Linked DNA regions of Saccharomyces cerevisiae S288C. The gene in region 3 interacts genetically with the main gene of each other region. Each region holds a gene or a part of one and is shown on either strand. Other genes may lie near its edges. The genes, in order: VID22, ELG1, MUS81 and RRM3.

Region 1 (5,101 bases), on a different chromosome or scaffold from region 3:
TCCAAATTATTCAATTTTTGATTGACTTGGTATTTGTTTACTTTGCTACCTATACATTCTATGCTCACAAATACTTGGACGGTATTTTACCAAACAAGGGTACTTGTTATGGTACTCAGGCTGCTGCTGCTTATGGGTATTTGATTCTAACATCTTATTTGCTTTTGTTTATTTCCTTCTACATCCAATCTTACAAGAAAGGTGGTAAAAAGACAGTCAAGAAGGAATCTGAAGTTTCCGGCTCCGTTGCATCCGGTTCTTCTACTGGTGTCAAGACCTCTAACACCAAGGTCTCTTCCAGGAAAGCTTAAATAGGAAGCGAGAATTTTTGACAGCGAATGAAAAAGAAAAAAATTAAATGTTAACATTTTCTTTATATTAAATATGTACGATAAATGAAATCATTATTATAGAAATGATAGATTATTGGCTTGGTGTTTTTCCCATTTTGATTAATCATTTCCTTAGCTGCCCAAAGAATTGCACGCTTACAGTGAGGAGTAGTGATACATTACAATTATAAAATAAAATTATATAGCAGCTAAAATTTAAAACAAACAGACTTTGTTCCTTTGTATGTCCTATGGAAGATACTGACTTGCAGTTTGTAAAGTGTCCAAGTCGTAATCCACTTTACTTGCCACGAATTGATCATTGAATAATTTAATTTTAATAATCTCTTGAGTTAAATCGGGATGTACTCTGGGAATGAAGTCATTTAAAAATGAGTACTCTCCCCTAATGGAGGAAGATGACTGACATTGCATTATCTTGAACAAAATTCTAATTATCGGCCCAGCATCATTATCTAAGTATTGGGACCAGAACGCGTTACACACAGGAACATGGATATCAAGTAACTCTTCAATGAAGTTCATTGGTTGTTCTAGCTCTCCAATAATAGAGTCCTCTGTTATTATTCTCTTCTTGAAACGGCCACTATCTCTAATGAAATTGCTTTGTTCACAATACGACCTGTAAGATATGGGTACGATGGAGTTTACTGTACTCAAGTAATCATATAAGTCCTCTTGAATGATTTGTAAAAAGATACTATCTATTTCCTTTGATATGGTAGAGTCCGATAAATGATGGGTATCGCTAAGAGAACCAAATGATAGGTTATTATTGCTATTCTGTGGTTGTTGTTCCGGTAATACAGAATTTTCTCCACCAGTAGGATCTATATCTATTCTTGATGCGGGCGTATTTGAATTCGAGTGGTTGTCGTTGTCGTTATCATGTTCGTTATCATTATTGTCGCTGTTGTTGCCGCTTCTATTGTTGATGTTGTTCGTCTGATTATCAGTGTGAATGTTCATGTTGCTATGATTGGAAGTATTATGACTGTTGTTAACGTTGCCTATTGTGTGTAAATTCAAAAACCTTTTCAATAAACTGAAAATTGATGTAGAAAGTTTGTCGACTATTTCAGAAAGTGAAATGGTATGAAAAGAATATTCCAGGACTTCTCTTTCGAATAAAATCGCAGGACACAAGAACATTGCTAAAAGGTTCATATCGTCTGAAAATAAAATGGTTTTGAATTCTTGAATTTTAGACAAAAATGTTTCAAATGGTGCAATTAACCGTTGAAATTGTAGGCTGCCCAAGGTGGACAACAGATGCTTTTCAATAGACATTATGGCGAACAAAACATAGGTAAAGTTTAAGCTTTTGGAAGAAGTAAAGAACTTTAGTATTCTATTGATGGAATTCAAAGTAATTAATAAATAGTCTATTATTTGAAAGTCGATTTCGTTGAATTTTTCAATTTGGATAGAAGATTGATATTCTTCTATTATGGGACGAAGGTTCAAAAAAGTTTGCAGTGAAACGGTGGCGGTAGAGTAACGGGATAAATCGAATTTCGAACAAACGAATTCGAAGCCAAATTTTTCACACAATGAACGGAATTTATCTAACTGCCACGAATTAGATTGTAAATCATCCAAAAAAGAATTGATTCTGGAAAAAATGGAATTCGAAATATCTATATTTGACAAATCAATTAGAGAGTCCAATAAAGTCAAAGGTTCTTTGGAGAATGATGATTGTCTCGGATGCGTAATATCGGCGGATTTAGGCGTACCGAACAATGGCAATATCGCAGAATTTATTATGGAAATAATGCAATTGTGATAATAGTTTTTAGCATTCGTATACGTATTCGGGAAAAAGGGTTGGCTATCCATTACGTTTAGTAGATCTACTATTTGAGATCTTGGTAGAGTGATAGAAATCACAGTATTTTGTAAACCAGGTAATTCTTGTGAGATTTTGAGCAGTTGAGCTGGAATAGATAGTTTGGGGTCATTGTTATATTCATGTAAGTTTTGGATGATAAGGGGTAAAGTCTTTACTTGGGAATGAAAATCATCATAGTACTGAATACTCAATATAGATATCGTGTTATTCCAAACGGAGTGGCTTAGAGAGAAAAAATTGATTTTTTGCATTTCAAATAATTGGTTCTTCAACCTGTTTGATAACTGATTAGATCTATCGGTTGGGTCCATTAGTAAGTAGTTTTTGTCGATAATCAACGACAAATCGGAATTGTTTCGCAAAGCTGTCCTTTGAATGATTCTATCGAGATTATATGCGATGGACCTGATAGCATTCAGAATTAAGTCATGGTCAATGAAGCTTAGTGAGTTGGCGTTCTGATTGATCAAAAGGCGTACGGCAGTGTTGTCTACGAACGACAGAGGCAAGTTTTCTGATGCAATTATGATCGCAAGCGACTGCACAAGAGGCAAGGCCATTTCTTTTTCCCTAGTTCTCTTCAAAAAGTCCTCGTCTATTTCCAGCAGGTTAGCAATGCTGTTCGTTGTGGCGCTACCGCCTTGATGGTTCTTCAAAGGTGGTCTGACCATAAAAGTAGAACCTGCTTCTACGCCCGTCCATCCGCTATAGTAATTGGCATTCGGGTCTATCTTATGCGTGCTCCACAAATGAGTTTGCGAGGCTTCCGCCATGCTTATGCTGTTTCCTTGCCGTCTTATTATCACACCGCAGTACTTGCATTTTACTGCCTCCAGCATCTTGTCTACACCCAGAAAATGGCCCAAGTAGCGTGACCTGTCTCTGGTAAGCATATATGCGGGCACCCATTCGCTACCATCCTCTGCTAACGACTCCCTTTCCTCATCTCTATCTCCATCTGTATCTGTATCCGTATTTGTGGCCGTCGTAGCCGCCGTCGCCGACGATACAGTTGAATTCATGGGAGGCAACACCAATCCTCTTTCAGCACTCTGTACCTGTGTGTCCATCGCTCTCATATGTGCTCTCGTGCTTGTTTATCCTGTGGATGCTGCCAGCAAACTCTCTCTTTCCCATCTCTTGATGGTTCATGTTATGTGTTGTTTATTGTTTGCTGATCCCATTCGCGCTTTCCCGGCCGTGGTAAATGACTACACGGTGAATAATTGCGCCATTTTTTCGCCGTTGCGGTGTTTTTTTTGTAGCCGTTGGAAGCATGGCAGTACCATCTGGAACAAAGCAACGGTATAAAGAAGACAGACTGTTGGTAAGCGCTGCATGTTGGTGACAAAAAGTTGGTTTCGAGAAATCAGGGTGGGTGTTTTTTGTGTGGCATGTGCAGCGAGCGATGAGTAATGCAAACAATAGTGCTATGAACCACATCACGTTGCCTCCCATCTCGTCATTTGACAACCTTATCAAGGCAGCCGAGAGACAATATAATGGCGAGGCTTCGTCCGCCTCGACACATCCGACACTGCCTAATATGAACATTAGTAACGGCAGTGGCAGTGCGGGCGCATCATCGTCGATGCTGAGCTATCAGTTGCTTCCGCACTCCAATGATGTGTCCCGGTCGAACTCCAGCTCGAGCTTCCTTCCCTCCGTGCAGCAGCCTACGGAAGGTTCCGCTTCTGCATCGGAAACTTCTTCATCTGCATCACCTTCACGTTCCATTTCACCAATTTTAAAAGTGGCTGGTCCTTCATCTGTTGGCGGTGCCGGGGTGAGTACCCCCCATAGCACCAAAATCAATAAGCCAAGGAAAAAGAAGCAATGTCCAATTTGTCGTAATTTTTATGCCAATCTGACCACGCACAAGGCAACGCACTTGACGCCAGAGGATCGGCCTCACAAGTGTCCCATCTGCCACCGCGGGTTCGCCAGGAACAATGACTTATTGAGGCATAAGAAAAGACATTGGAAGGATGAGATACTGTCCCAATCGGGAGTACTTTCGAACCATAATGATGGTAAGGGAGGATCCGTTTCTCCCAATGATGATGATACCCATGAAAAAATGACACCGATGAATTCTGTCACAGATTATGCACAATTGAAATCGTTGCATCAAATCAAGGGCACATTCAAGTGCCCATTCAACTCCACCTTAATACAATTGGACATGGATATGTACCCGTATAAACTGAAACCTTTAAATTTTGAGACTTCCAATTGTCACCAGACGGGGGTGTTCTCACGTTGCGACACCTTCAAAAACCATTTAAAGGCTTTGCATTTTGAATACCCGCCAGGCACGAAGAAAAAGGATAGAAATGTTGTTCCTGGTAGATGTAAGCATTGCGGCCTGAAGTTCGAGAACGTTGACGTTTGGCTCAACGAACACGTAGGTAAACAATGCGGCTATAAATACCATTGATTCCCGGCAGCATAACGACTTTTCCCCTGTTTTTATTAGTACTAGTAGATATTTAATTTATGTATCTGAGTTTTTAATGTTTTTTTTCCTTCTCTTATCATTCTTCAAGTGCGGCTATCCTTCTGTACTGTGGCCTGCCGTCAACAACTTCTCTGTAGATTATCAGATCCATTCCCTTCATGTATGAATCAGGTAGTTTTGTGGGGTACAGTGTAACGCCGCTTTTCCTCTTGATTGACCACTTATCAACTAAGGTGTTTTCGATACCATTATAGAAGTCTGTGGGAAAACTTTTGGTGATGATCCAGCAGCCCAAAAATTCTCTTAGTTTCCTTAGAATCTTAAACAGTTTTTCAAATTTCGATAAATTTATTACATCATAGTTTTTGTCGCTTTCAAAATTCAAGAAAGACAAATTGTCGATTACTATTCCTCGTAATTGAAAGTTGAAAT
Region 2 (4,654 bases), on a different chromosome or scaffold from region 3:
GAGTAGGGTAGAGTTTTCATCCTCGTTTGGATGGATTAGTTCTTTTAAGTTCATTTTATTTCGGATGTTGATTAAATCAGTACCAATTTTAATACGTTCAGGATTTTCAATACACTCCTCGCTCATAGCAGTGATATTCAGCTTTTTATTGTTCTTTGTGACCAATTGTGATCTACAAATTTCTAGCTTTTATCAAAACCACAGTACTTAAGAAGCTAAATCTTTTATAAACGCCTTATCATTCACGCTTTATTTGTAATTCCCATCAGCCATTTTTTTTCAAGTTTTCGCATATTTTGCATTTTTCGCTGTTTTGAAATATGCACTATGAGGAAATAAAGGCAACTATTAGAAGGAATTTAGGATTGTGCTGCATTTGCTTAATGCAAGGTTGCAGAATTTATTGATATATAAAGTAGTAGTATATTTCCCCGCACTACCATGCTATATTTATTATACATACGTGTTCCTGTAACGATGCACGCAATTTCATATCAGTGTTATTTGTTCTTTGAAAAGCCTGAGTGCAAATGCTCCCATTTTCTCACGACTATGCTCGGATCAGCGTTGAACCATACGTTTTTCAAGACACCCTCTTGTGACAACTGATAGACCAAATCTTTGTATCGTCTTTCTGATACATTTTCACTATGCAACTCAAATATTTGTTTGTTTTCATTCTTGACATTGGCGTCACTTTTAGCGATTTCAAAAACGAAGGGATTGATCTCCGCTTTAATTTGTTGAGTTGTGGCGCTCAGCAGATCAATCTCGGCATTTTCGTTCAGAGTTTCATCATTATAAATTCCTTTGAATTGGTTCAAAATATCAGAAATTTTCTTCGAATTTCTCGTCCTTCTTGCCGACTGAAGATGGTCATACTTCGGTATTCTTGACGCCAAAAAATTTAATGTAGATTCTGTCATTTTTTTGAACCTGTTAACAAGGTATTCGTTATCAAGCCTATGGTTTGCTTCTCTAACATAGGAATACCGAGCTTCCAATTGTTCTTGGATGTGTTGGTAAATATTCAATTCAAACGGTAATAACGGTTGTCTATTGGGGTCATTTAAATGCAATTTATAATCTATCACGTAATCAAATTTTAGTTTCATTTCATCATCCAGATTTTGATCCTGGAAAGTATTAACTTTTTCTGGGGTCATTGTGGTAGAATCTATTTCTTGTCTAACCATGGAACGATTGAGCGTTGCTTGACCAATAACATCATTTATGGAGAGTAGATCAGTTAATTGCGATATATCTTTAACGCTTGAACCAAGAGTTGATGTTAGGACCGGTAGTCTGTTCTTGGATGAAATCAAATCAGCCTCAGTATCAACGCACCAAAACTGCAAGTGCATCAAGCACTTCCTAATATCCGCATTATTTTGTTTTACAACATCGCGAAGCCAGTCGTCACAAACTTCGATTTCAAGGGACTTTAAATATTTTGTTAGAAACGCATAGACTGTGGATGTACTAATTTTCTTAGTATGAAACAAAGAGTTTTGTTCACTTGCCAAGGCAATAAGTTCACTAGGAACTAGTGACAAATCCTTACAAGTCAATACGAGGGGCCTTCGTGAAAATTCACAAAGCTTGCTGATCATTGCCCAATATCCCCTATCATGTTCTTTAAATAAAACATCAACATCATTAAATAAAACAAGCCCGTAGTCACTTTTCCTTTTTGAGGAATCTTTGACATAGTGTGTGGTGGTAAAATCTAGTAGGATATCAAGCAAATCTTTTTTGCTCCTGTTCATGTTTGAATTAACTTCATATATCTGGTAAGAATTATCGTCGCCAGCAATCTCTCTCATGATTGTCTGTATCAGCGTTTTCTTGCCTATTGAATTTCCGTGTAATATCATTAGTGGAACAAATTCGCTCAAGCTGCTATTTGCTTCGCCATTTCTGTAGAAATCTGGACGCAAGTTTTCGTCTTCTTCGAGATCAGGTACAATGAAGTTGGCAAGCTCATCACCAGATCCCTGTTGTTTATTGGGATTTATTCTGTTCAATAGACGGTTCCTCAAGGTAGGCTTTTCTAGCGTATGAAAGGATGTTTCAATCCAATTTTTGATTCGAAGTTTCAATTTGGGTTCAATTAATACTTGTTTTAAAGTGACAGGCTTGAATAGCTGCGGCCATGTGAGAGTTGTATTTCTTTTAATATTTGTGCCAAGTAATACCGGTGCTTGATAGCGAACAGGAATACAAGATGCTGAATTCTTGTCTTTCAACGATTCATAGTCACTAGGAAGAAAATTATGATTTAATGGCGGTATTGTGCGGAAAGGAAGCGGGATATCAACACTCCGATCTGACAGCTCTTTGTCACCTACTGGGAAAATCGATTGATGTAATGGTAATGGTGGCTCTATTTCATTTAGTTTAGAGATGCTATTTAATCTTTTGAACGTGTCGGTTGTCTCATGTTTAAGGAAGTTTTTAATCTTTGATGCTCTTTCATTAAGAAGCGATGATTTGATTCTCGATGTGGAAATTATAGAAATATCATCTTCATGCTCCTGCGAAAGTGCAATTTTGCTACAATTAGTCTCACTTTTGGGACTCTTATCACTGATTACAATAAGATCATCATCGTCGTCATCGCATTTTTCTTTTGTGCGTTTCGTCATCAAAAACTCCTTTGCAGATTTGTGATTAGTAGAAACAGCTTCAATTGGCTTCACAACAGAGTGGTTTAAAAATATTACTGAAGAATCGTCATGTTTGGCTGTTCTGGCGTCAAAAGTGCCTGATTCAGTATCATTTTCGTCATCGATGGTAATCTGTAGAGCATCTTGTCTTCTCACTTTTCTCTTATTTCCTGTCAATATATCAGATAAAGACACGTGCCTTTTCATTGGAAAACCTTCTCTGATTCAAAAAGTTTAATGCTATGGTACCATACGATTTAGTGCAGCGAAGGTGGTCAGTGAAGACGTTAAATACATGAAGCAAATAGCCGGATAATAATACTAAACTAATTTATCACCGCTAACGTTACGCGTTTGGCGTCCTAAAAAAAAGAAGGAAAAAAAAACCTATTTATTCACTCTATTTCGCCATAAAACGACATATAAATATTATACAGATGATGAAAGCCCACAAATTATGTTTAGTAGCGTTCTTTTAATCTAGATGCAACGGTACGTAAGTTCCCATAAACTTTACCTGGAGGGGAACCCAAAATTAAACTAACCACAGATTCTCTTGCCATTCTGATGTGGGTGAACCCGCCCAAAATGTGGATTTTAGAGTCAGCTAAGACAATTCTTGTTCTTGTAGCGTTTTCAATCGCAAATTTCGTTTTACCGTCTTTACCGGCAATACGACCGATGGCTCTCGACAAATGGTCACCTGTTAGAGTCTTGACATCTTTGACTTCAAAAGTCTCAATATATAAATCATCTAGCCTCAATAGTGCGATAGAATCGTCAAGATCAAACCCTAAGGTAAAGGCTTTGATAAAATCGGCCCCTTTTTGCAACGCACCAGGGTCTGTGGTAAATTTAGGATTCGTTCTTAGTTCTACGGATTTGGTCTTTAAATTCATTCTGACTTGCAGCTTCAAGTGCTCGACCAAAGGAGGATAAATTTTTGTCCAACTGTTCCTCAAGGGTGTCATTCTGTGTGGTGGAACCATGATCTTTCTCGATTCAAATTTTATTTTGTTACCCTGTGTTTTGCTAGCTGAAGTGAAGCGAGGTTTCCCCTGGTCATCAACCACTACGGTCTTAGATTCGTGCGTTTTCCGGCTACCTTCTTCGCCCTCTACCTCTTCTTTTGCTGTGTTATTGTCGGAATCATCTAACAGAACGTCGTCATCATCGTCCTCATCGATGCTTTCGGTATTATTTATTCCTATAATTCTACTACTGCCCCCATCTTGTCCACTTACAGGTGTCACAGTAGCCTTTTTCAAAGCAGTAGGCGCAACCATAATGTAGTTTATTTTCACTTCAAGTCTTTTTCTTAACTAAACAGAAGAATATTGAAAACTGCCTATTATTGATGCAATATGTATCTTTCATTGTGATGAGCATCGGTATGATAATAAGGAAAGAAGAAAAATTTTTTCCCGCTCGCACTTTCCGTAAGAGGTGATAAAAAACAGACCTAATACTGTAGTAATCTTAACTGCATTTAGCCCTACATTTATTATTTATGACCTTACTCTTCATATGTAGGTTAAAAAATTCGTATAAAGACACATTTGACTTTTTGTCACTTTTTTTTACTTCTCGTTATTGGTTCTAGCTGATCCTTGACTTACTATGGAGGGATGCATATTAAAGTTGACAGTAGATTTGCGTCAAGAAGTATTAAAACAAAAGGCACATACAGATTATCAGGTGGTGGGAGGTTTATAAAATTCATGCTAATCACACGTTTACGGGTCCCTACAATAAAGCGGCCACTGCTTCCAATTACAAGTCATCTCGTAAGACACTGTATTCGAACTTACGTCGCAACTAATCATGGAAATGTCAGACCTTTTATAACACCTTACAAGAGTTCGTTACCTGTTAGATGTTTGATCGCCCAAAGGCACATCCGAACATTTCCAAGCAATGACAAGTTCACTACCAAGGCTTCCAATATTGAGACTATTTTGCTGAGAAAAAATAATGAGCGAGAG
Region 3 (4,019 bases):
TTTTGATTATGACTGTTGGGTTACTTCTTTGCAGTGTAGGTTTCGGTCATGACCAAGTCAATTTACTTTTAATTTCTGTTGTAATTTATGTTGCAGCATATGCTTCTGCGATGGGCAGCGTTCCATGGACCTGTGTGGAATTTCTCCCCTTGAACAGGAGATCATTTGGGGCATCATGTATAGCCTGCACAAATTGGTTGACCAATGCATTTGTTTCAATGACATATCTGAGCACTATTAACACCATTGGTGATGAAAATACAATGCTCATTTTTGCTTTTTTCACAGTTTGTGCCTGGTTTTTCGTATATTTTTGGTATCCAGAAGTCAAAGGTTTGTCACTGGAAGAGGTTGGAAGGGTTTTTGATAATGGAATTGATGTTCATTATGTCTTTCGTACCTACCATTGATGAGTTGTCAAGTGGCATCATAATGCATTGGGGCGGCTTTCAGATATGCTTCTGGTATATTTGTCCGTGAGAAATTAAGGCTTCTTTTCTTATATATGTATATATTAGTTAAAAGAATATCATCACTTTTTTCTTTATAAAACCTTGCAGGGATGACTATATTTCAAATTGCTAAAGTTTACCAAAAGCATCATATATCTTTTCTGAAAGAGATTTAGTAATTTTCTTCGCACCAGGTGCATCTCCCAGTACATTAAACATCAACAATTTAGCCTCTTCTTCCGAGGAGCACGTTTTATATGCCATTAGTATTTTATTCAGGGTAGGAAATATTTCTTGGATGGCTACTGCTTTTTCTAAAGATATACCTTTAACAAGCATTAAAACATGTATAGTTAGCTCACCAACCGTCTTTAGATCGCCTTTTCCCATTAGTTCTTGAAAGCATTCAAGATTATGACAGCATTCAATACCGCCTTTTCGTTCGAATTCTCGACGAAACTGTAGAAGCACCTTTTTATAATCGTCCTTGCTTTTAAGGTCACTTGGAAATATAACTATGAGATCTTTTTGAGAATAGTGATGAGAAATTACAGTATGCAACGCATGTATCTTTTCCACAGTTTCATCCGAATTGCAAGTTCTTATCATGGAGAATTTGTAATACACTAAAATGACCCAAAGCGCGGTCTTTAGGGCCTCATTCATATTTCCAATGTTGCCACTCATAGTCTCCTCAATGAGATAGTATTTGTGTTCACAGCCAGATTTCTCTAACCTATTTTTTTGCTCCATAAACCTGTTATCCCTTATACTTAAAGCTAAATCGTCTAGCCTTTTTCTTTCAACTATGGTGTTGAGCACACACTGCAACCCGGTATTTTTATTCTTGGCAACCCATATAATATCACCCAAAGCGAGTTGCCTTATCTCTGACTTCATACCTTTTCTTTCAAATGCCCTTGAAAAAAACTCACGATCAGATTGTGACTTTATTTCTCTGTGATCAATAATTGGGAAAACTTCGAAATCACCACTACACCACAATTCGTAACTTACTCCGTTGTACCTTCTCCTCTTTATTGTGCTTTTAGCCTTTAATGCGGAATCAGGTACTGTTTGATCATCAGAGACCTCTTCCAATTTATGAGAAGATATATTAGTTTGGCTATTCAGTCTATCATTTTTAAATACATTGTTCTGCAGCCTTTGCGGCGTGCTCAAATCTTGAAAAGTTATATCCAGCATGAATGAAGTGTTATTTATATCGCAGGGCTCTTCTTCCTTACCATATTCACCACGGAGGTCAGTCAGATTTGCTGTGAATTCACTACTTTCATTCCTGGTTACGGAATACTCGTTAGGTTCTTCATTTTCTTTTGGAAAAGAGATTCCGTCTGCCGTCTTTAAGCTCTTTGTTAGTTCTACACCTTCCTCTGTTAGCGAATACCGTTTTGGTCTACCTTCCTCAAGAACCAACGAATGTTTTTTAAGTGCAGCAATAGACGACCAAGCACCGTAGAATTCTTTTGTGGAGAAATTTGGAGTCATACAATGGTCACTGTATTTTCCTGCAACCTCGATGATTTGCTCTTTACTAACGCCTCGAGGAATGGCATTAAGCTCGAGTAAGGAAAGAAGGATAGCGTAGCCTCCAGATCTTTTTTTGGGTATATACTTCCTAGTTTTTCTCTTTTTAGTTCCCTTCTCTTCGGGAGCTTCATTCTTATCATTTTCGCATGAGTTTACTATGCTACGCAAAGCTGTAGTAGTCCTCTTTGGTGGTCTGGTGCTACTTGTCTGAGTTAAGGAAGGAGCCTCAACGGGAGATATGTGGTGAATTTTGCAATAGTTCCGTAATTTCGTATCTAATCTCTTTATTATTGTATTGCCAATTCCCTTAACTTTCTTTAGATCTGTAGGATAATAAAATGAACCTTCAGCATTTTGTAAATTCCTTTTTGCTTTTTCATAGGCTATTTTGAGTTGTTCTTGTTTAGGGGTTAATCCGTCAACTAATTCTTGTAACCATTCAATATATAGGTCTTTTAAGTTTGATGAGAGTTCCATGCTTTCATGCTAGGAATGTGTGTTCGTATCAATCCTTTGAAACTTTGTTTACGCCAATGTTGATGCCACTCTTAAAGGGCATTACCGCGATCGGTAAGAAAAGAAGTTGATGACGCGAATAGGCAAAGCAAGATAAATCATAGTAACTATTATACAGGGGAAGGCAGATATCTAATATGGAAATATGATTAAATATGAAATAACACTATAGATGGTAAGTATACGTGAGAATAAACTACAAAAAAGTCAAAAGGACATAAAAGGTGCCCAATACATTACGACAAAAACTGAAAAAGTTAAATAATTAAAAATTGTTTAACCATTCTTACAATTTGTCGTAATATTCTTGCCAGCCTGGAACTTCTTCCTTCATACCGTGTCTCTTACGAGCAGCAAGAACAATTTCACCAGCCTTAGAGGTTGGGTCCAATGGGTCAGAACCTAAAGTGGACCAATGGTCGAAAACCATTTGTGGGAAAGCTTGACCACCAGTAGCTTGTCTCAATTCACCAGTGAAACCGAAAGATTCGTTAACTGGCAAGTAGGCCTTGACGGTAAACAATGGAGTACCTGGTCTTTGTTCTTCAGAAACGACTTGACCTCTCTTCTTGTTTAAGACGGAGTAGATACCACCGACGGCTTGTTCTGGACATTGAATTTCGACCAAGAAAACTGGTTCTTGGATCTTTGGATCAGCCAACAAGAAACCAGCGTAAGTAGCTCTTCTCATGGTTGGGATGATTTGACCACCACCTCTGTGGATAGCATCGGCATGTAAAGTAACATCCAAAATGTTAACTCTGACAGATCTCATTTCTTCACCGAAAATTGGACCTTCCTTGGTAGCCCATTGGAAAGCAGCAACAACGGAATCCTTGATTTCGTGCAAGTATTGGACAGCCTTAGTTTGGTCAATAACCAAGTTTGGACCGTTACCGTCTGGACCGAAACACCAGATCTTTCTGGCATCGGTGACATCCCAACCGTAGTCGTCAGCCATGATTCTAGCTCTGGCCTTGAAATCATCTCTTGGGTTGATGATACCGTTTTCAATAGCCAAAGAGACTTCTTCGTCAATTGGTTCAGCCTTCAAGTAGATTCTGTTATGCTTGTTTGGAGACTTGGACAAAGCAGTTTGAGAAGATTCACTTTCAACAGTTTCTCTGTAAGCGACAACTGGTGGGGAGATCTTCAATGGAACACCAGCGTGGTCGTGTTCCAAATCTTGCAAACAAATTTCCAAATGCAATTCACCGGTACCAGCAACGATATGTTCACCGGATTCAGACATATAGGTCAAGACACATGGATCAGACTTGGACAATCTCTTCAAACCTTCGACCAATTTTGGTAAGTCGTTAGCGTTCTTGACTTCGACAGCGACTTGCACAACTGGAGAGACAGAGAATTTCATGACCTTCATGTTGTGAGCAGTTTCACTGGTGGTCAAAGTACCAGTCTTCAACAAGAATTGATCGATACCGACTAAACCGATAATGTTACCGGCTGGACAGTCATCGATTGGTTCGACAAATCTAC
Region 4 (4,400 bases), on a different chromosome or scaffold from region 3:
ACGGAGATAGAGAAAGGCACTTGGTATGCAAGAGACGCAATCGTAGCCACAATCGACTGAGCGCCCAAGGCATCGGTGCCCAGATGGGAAGCGAAAATTGTCAACACTTCAAAGCCGAGGAACTCTGCCTCCACCATCACCACGCCGGGAATAGCTAGGTTAATCATCTTACGCCAGTTCTTAAATGCTTGTTCCTTAGGGATGATACCATTCCAGCATTTGAGTGGTCTCTCCTTGTGCTTGGTGGTCATTGCGTATATTAGTAATCCGAGCGTCATCAACCAGTAGTTGATCACAACCGATAATGGCGCACCAAGGTACCCAATCCCAATCTTGTCATTCCAAACAAGTAAGTAGTTCATCAATGCGTTCAAGGGTGCGCACACAAAGAGCACGATTGTGGATGCATGGAATATACCTTGACATTGTAGGAACCTCTTACCACATTCAAAAAGGATGAATCCTGGCACACCGAATGCGGTTACACGTAGATAGTTAGCCGCTAGCGCGCATAGTTCTCTCTCCGGAATCATTAGTGCTAGGATCTTTTCCGACCAAACAAACCAAACATACATCATTGGCAAGAACGCCAAGATGGTGATCACAGCACATCTCTGCACTAGCACACCCACCAAGTGGTAGTTTTTGGCACCGTATGCCTGCGCACACAGTGTGTCCAGACATGTACACAGACCTTGAATAGCAGCAAGACCCGTGATGTTAGCAGTCATAGAACCGAGTGTAACACCACCTAGCTCTTTCGTCCCTAAATGTGAGACGGAGAAAATAGATGCTAGTGACAACGAATTTTGCAAGATAAAGGTGAAGATTAGCGGCAACGCATTCATCGTGATCACTTGCGTTTCTCTCTTAAAAGTTGTGCTGATTTTCTGACCACTCTCGATCGCGCTCTCCCACGTATTTGCAATCTCAGCTGGTCTTTCTTCCTCGTCCGGTCCAATTGCTTGGCCATGTCCGTGACTTTCTATATCTCCCCCACCGTTGCCGTGTTGAGAGAGCAGTTTGTTGTCTATTAGCAGGTCCCGTTCTTCGTCAAGCAACCGCTTACGGTCGTGAGAGTCATAACCTTGTTGCCACGCTTCTTGTTGCAATGTCCGCGAATTGTTGGCATCTAACAACGAATGGTATTCACCTTCCCTCTCCGTCTCATCGTCATTGCCGGTATAGGAAGGTTCTTCTTCACTACCCTCTTGCTCTTCGCCCTCAATTAAGTTTTCTTCTGACTCCTGTGGGATGTAGTCTGCAGGCGTGAAAAGCCCTGCCTTCCCGACACTGGTGGAGTAGATAATCGATGATCTTCTGTCGTTGGTGGTATGACTAAATTGTTTAGACATAGTCTTCTTTCGTCTTCTTCTTCTATCTTCTTCACCGCTAACACAGACCCTTGACAAATCTGAAAAAGTACTTTTTAAGCCGGTCTATCTTCCCTTACCGGATTTATTTCTTTTGCCAGGGTTCTTTACTATTTTGTAGTTATCATAAATTTTTTTTTTCTTTTTAAGTTGCCGTGCTCTTCTATTTTTTTAGTCTTTTTTTTTTTTATTATTTTTTTTTTTTTCATTTTCCCTATAACGGGGCTAACCCGAATGCGCATGCATTATTCCGATATTATTACGTCAAAGAATATGTAAATAAACATCATCTCGAACAATAAGCAGAGGAGAACAAGCTCAAAAGTCGAGAGATTTGTTCTTATAAGACATCCCGATGTTCAGGTCGCATGCCTCCGGTAACAAGAAGCAATGGTCTAAAAGATCCTCAAATGGTAGCACACCTGCTGCTTCGGCATCTGGCTCTCACGCATACAGGCAACAAACGTTGTCTTCGTTCTTTATGGGTTGCGGCAAAAAATCTGCTGCTGCTTCAAAAAACAGCACGACAATAATTGATTTGGAAAGCGGTGACGAAGGTAACCGTAATATAACAGCACCTCCTAGGCCAAGATTAATACGGAATAATTCGTCTTCCTTATTCTCGCAGAGTCAAGGTTCGTTTGGAGATGATGATCCCGACGCAGAATTCAAAAAATTGGTAGATGTGCCGAGACTCAATAGCTATAAAAAGTCTAGCAGATCGCTGTCGATGACCAGCTCTCTTCATAAGACTGCCTCTGCGTCCACGACTCAGAAAACATACCATTTTGATGAGGATGAGACTTTGCGAGAGGTTACTAGCGTGAAATCCAATTCTAGACAATTATCGTTCACTAGTACAATTAATATTGAAGATTCTAGCATGAAACTTTCTACTGATTCAGAAAGACCAGCCAAGAGGTCTAAACCTTCTATGGAGTTTCAAGGTTTAAAGCTCACAGTACCAAAGAAAATAAAACCACTGCTAAGAAAGACAGTATCAAATATGGACTCAATGAACCACCGAAGTGCGTCTTCGCCAGTGGTACTTACAATGGAGCAAGAGAGAGTGGTTAATTTAATCGTCAAAAAAAGAACAAATGTCTTTTACACCGGTAGTGCGGGTACAGGTAAGTCGGTCATTTTGCAAACGATCATAAGACAATTGAGCTCTTTGTATGGGAAAGAATCAATTGCAATTACCGCCTCAACTGGGCTAGCGGCAGTGACTATTGGTGGTTCCACATTGCATAAGTGGTCTGGTATAGGAATCGGGAACAAAACTATCGACCAATTGGTGAAAAAAATACAATCACAAAAGGACTTATTGGCCGCATGGAGGTATACAAAAGTTTTGATAATTGATGAAATTTCTATGGTCGATGGTAATCTGTTGGATAAATTAGAGCAAATCGCAAGGAGAATTCGGAAGAACGACGATCCCTTTGGTGGTATTCAATTGGTCCTGACAGGCGATTTTTTTCAACTACCACCAGTTGCTAAGAAGGACGAGCATAACGTTGTGAAATTTTGTTTTGAAAGTGAAATGTGGAAACGGTGCATTCAAAAAACGATTTTACTGACAAAGGTTTTCAGACAACAGGATAACAAACTAATTGATATTCTAAATGCCATAAGATACGGAGAGCTGACTGTCGACATTGCTAAAACAATAAGGAACCTAAATAGGGATATAGACTATGCCGATGGAATTGCTCCTACAGAACTGTATGCCACAAGAAGAGAAGTTGAACTATCCAACGTAAAGAAATTACAGTCTCTACCTGGTGATTTATATGAGTTTAAAGCTGTAGATAACGCGCCCGAGAGATACCAAGCGATACTAGATTCTTCATTAATGGTGGAAAAAGTTGTCGCATTGAAGGAAGATGCACAGGTAATGATGTTGAAAAATAAGCCTGATGTAGAATTAGTTAATGGATCATTGGGAAAAGTTTTGTTTTTTGTTACAGAATCGCTGGTGGTGAAAATGAAGGAAATTTACAAGATTGTGGATGACGAAGTTGTCATGGACATGAGATTAGTGAGTCGGGTCATTGGTAATCCCTTGTTAAAGGAATCAAAGGAGTTTCGTCAAGATTTGAATGCCAGGCCATTAGCTAGATTGGAACGTTTGAAAATCTTGATAAACTATGCAGTTAAGATCTCTCCGCATAAGGAAAAATTCCCCTATGTGAGGTGGACAGTGGGTAAAAACAAGTACATACATGAGCTCATGGTCCCAGAGCGCTTTCCCATTGATATTCCCAGAGAAAATGTCGGGTTAGAAAGAACTCAGATTCCATTAATGCTATGCTGGGCACTGTCCATTCATAAGGCACAGGGTCAAACTATTCAAAGACTAAAGGTCGACTTGAGGAGAATTTTCGAAGCCGGCCAAGTTTATGTTGCACTGTCAAGAGCGGTAACTATGGACACCTTACAGGTCCTAAACTTTGATCCAGGAAAGATTCGCACCAATGAAAGAGTAAAAGATTTCTATAAACGTTTAGAAACTTTGAAATGACTTGCAACGAATAAATGCATATACTCTAGTTGAAGTTTTCTTTTCTTGTTCTATACAGGTTCGAATACTTGTGAGCCTATCTGTATAATTTAACAGAATCCCGAAATATTCATCTAGAAGCCATCTATTTAGCTAAGCCTACGTATGCGGCGATTTTTATATTATCTTTTTTTTTTTTTATAGAAGACTGCGAAATGTTGGCAGAATGGAAAGTTTCAGTGTTAAAAATAGAAACTGAAAAAGGAGATCTAGCCAGGAATATATCGAAAAAAAAAGTGAGGGAAATCAGATCCTACACAAATATTTAGATTTAATTGAAGACCCTGGTCTGCCAGATATATATATATATTAGACGAACTGTGCATTCAGTCAGCAAATCTAGGCCACAGATTTTCTTATTGAAGCTATCAAAATAGTAGAAATAATTGAAGGGCGTGTATAACAATTCTGGGAGATGGCTGATAAGATAGAGAGGCATACTTTCAAGGTCTTCAATCAAG

Evidence for each region.
Region 1: mutations in MUS81 (region 3) and VID22 together harm fitness more than expected from each alone (negative genetic interaction), as found in Saccharomyces cerevisiae (6 studies listed by BioGRID, with this or other methods).
Region 2: mutations in MUS81 (region 3) and ELG1 together harm fitness more than expected from each alone (negative genetic interaction), as found in Saccharomyces cerevisiae (8 studies listed by BioGRID, with this or other methods).
Region 4: mutations in MUS81 (region 3) and RRM3 together harm fitness more than expected from each alone (negative genetic interaction), as found in Saccharomyces cerevisiae (5 studies listed by BioGRID, with this or other methods).

Annotation. Positions count from the first base shown.
Region 1 is NC_001144.5:868,081-873,181, forward strand, and holds VID22 (Vid22p), read right to left. Parts: upstream 3,288-5,101; coding exon 582-3,287; downstream 1-581. Other genes in the region: fatty acid elongase ELO3, read left to right, coding at 1-311; STP3 (Stp3p), read left to right, coding at 3,617-4,648; PSY3 (Psy3p), read right to left, coding at 4,746-5,101. UniProt on the Saccharomyces cerevisiae protein: Has a role in the negative regulation of gluconeogenesis. Imports fructose-1,6-bisphosphatase (FBPase) into the intermediate vacuole import and degradation (Vid) vesicles. This is an indirect role and requires cyclophilin A.
Region 2 is NC_001147.6:602,217-606,870, forward strand, and holds ELG1 (Elg1p), read right to left. Parts: upstream 2,877-4,654; coding exon 501-2,876; downstream 1-500. Other genes in the region: THI80 (thiamine diphosphokinase), read right to left, coding at 1-126; PNO1 (Pno1p), read right to left, coding at 3,131-3,955; MDM32 (Mdm32p), read left to right, coding at 4,391-4,654.
Region 3 is NC_001136.10:1,244,545-1,248,563, reverse strand, and holds MUS81 (Mus81p), read right to left. Parts: upstream 2,481-4,019; coding exon 582-2,480; downstream 1-581. Other genes in the region: CIN10 (Cin10p), read left to right, coding at 1-410; EFT2 (elongation factor 2), read right to left, coding at 2,806-4,019.
Region 4 is NC_001140.6:170,299-174,698, reverse strand, and holds RRM3 (DNA helicase), read left to right. Parts: upstream 1-1,728; coding exon 1,729-3,900; downstream 3,901-4,400. Other genes in the region: ERC1 (Erc1p), read right to left, coding at 1-1,355; mitogen-activated serine/threonine-protein kinase SLT2, read left to right, coding at 4,355-4,400. UniProt on the Saccharomyces cerevisiae protein: 5' to 3' DNA replicative helicase recruited to paused replisomes to promote fork progression throughout nonhistone protein-DNA complexes, naturally occurring impediments that are encountered in each S phase where replication forks pauses.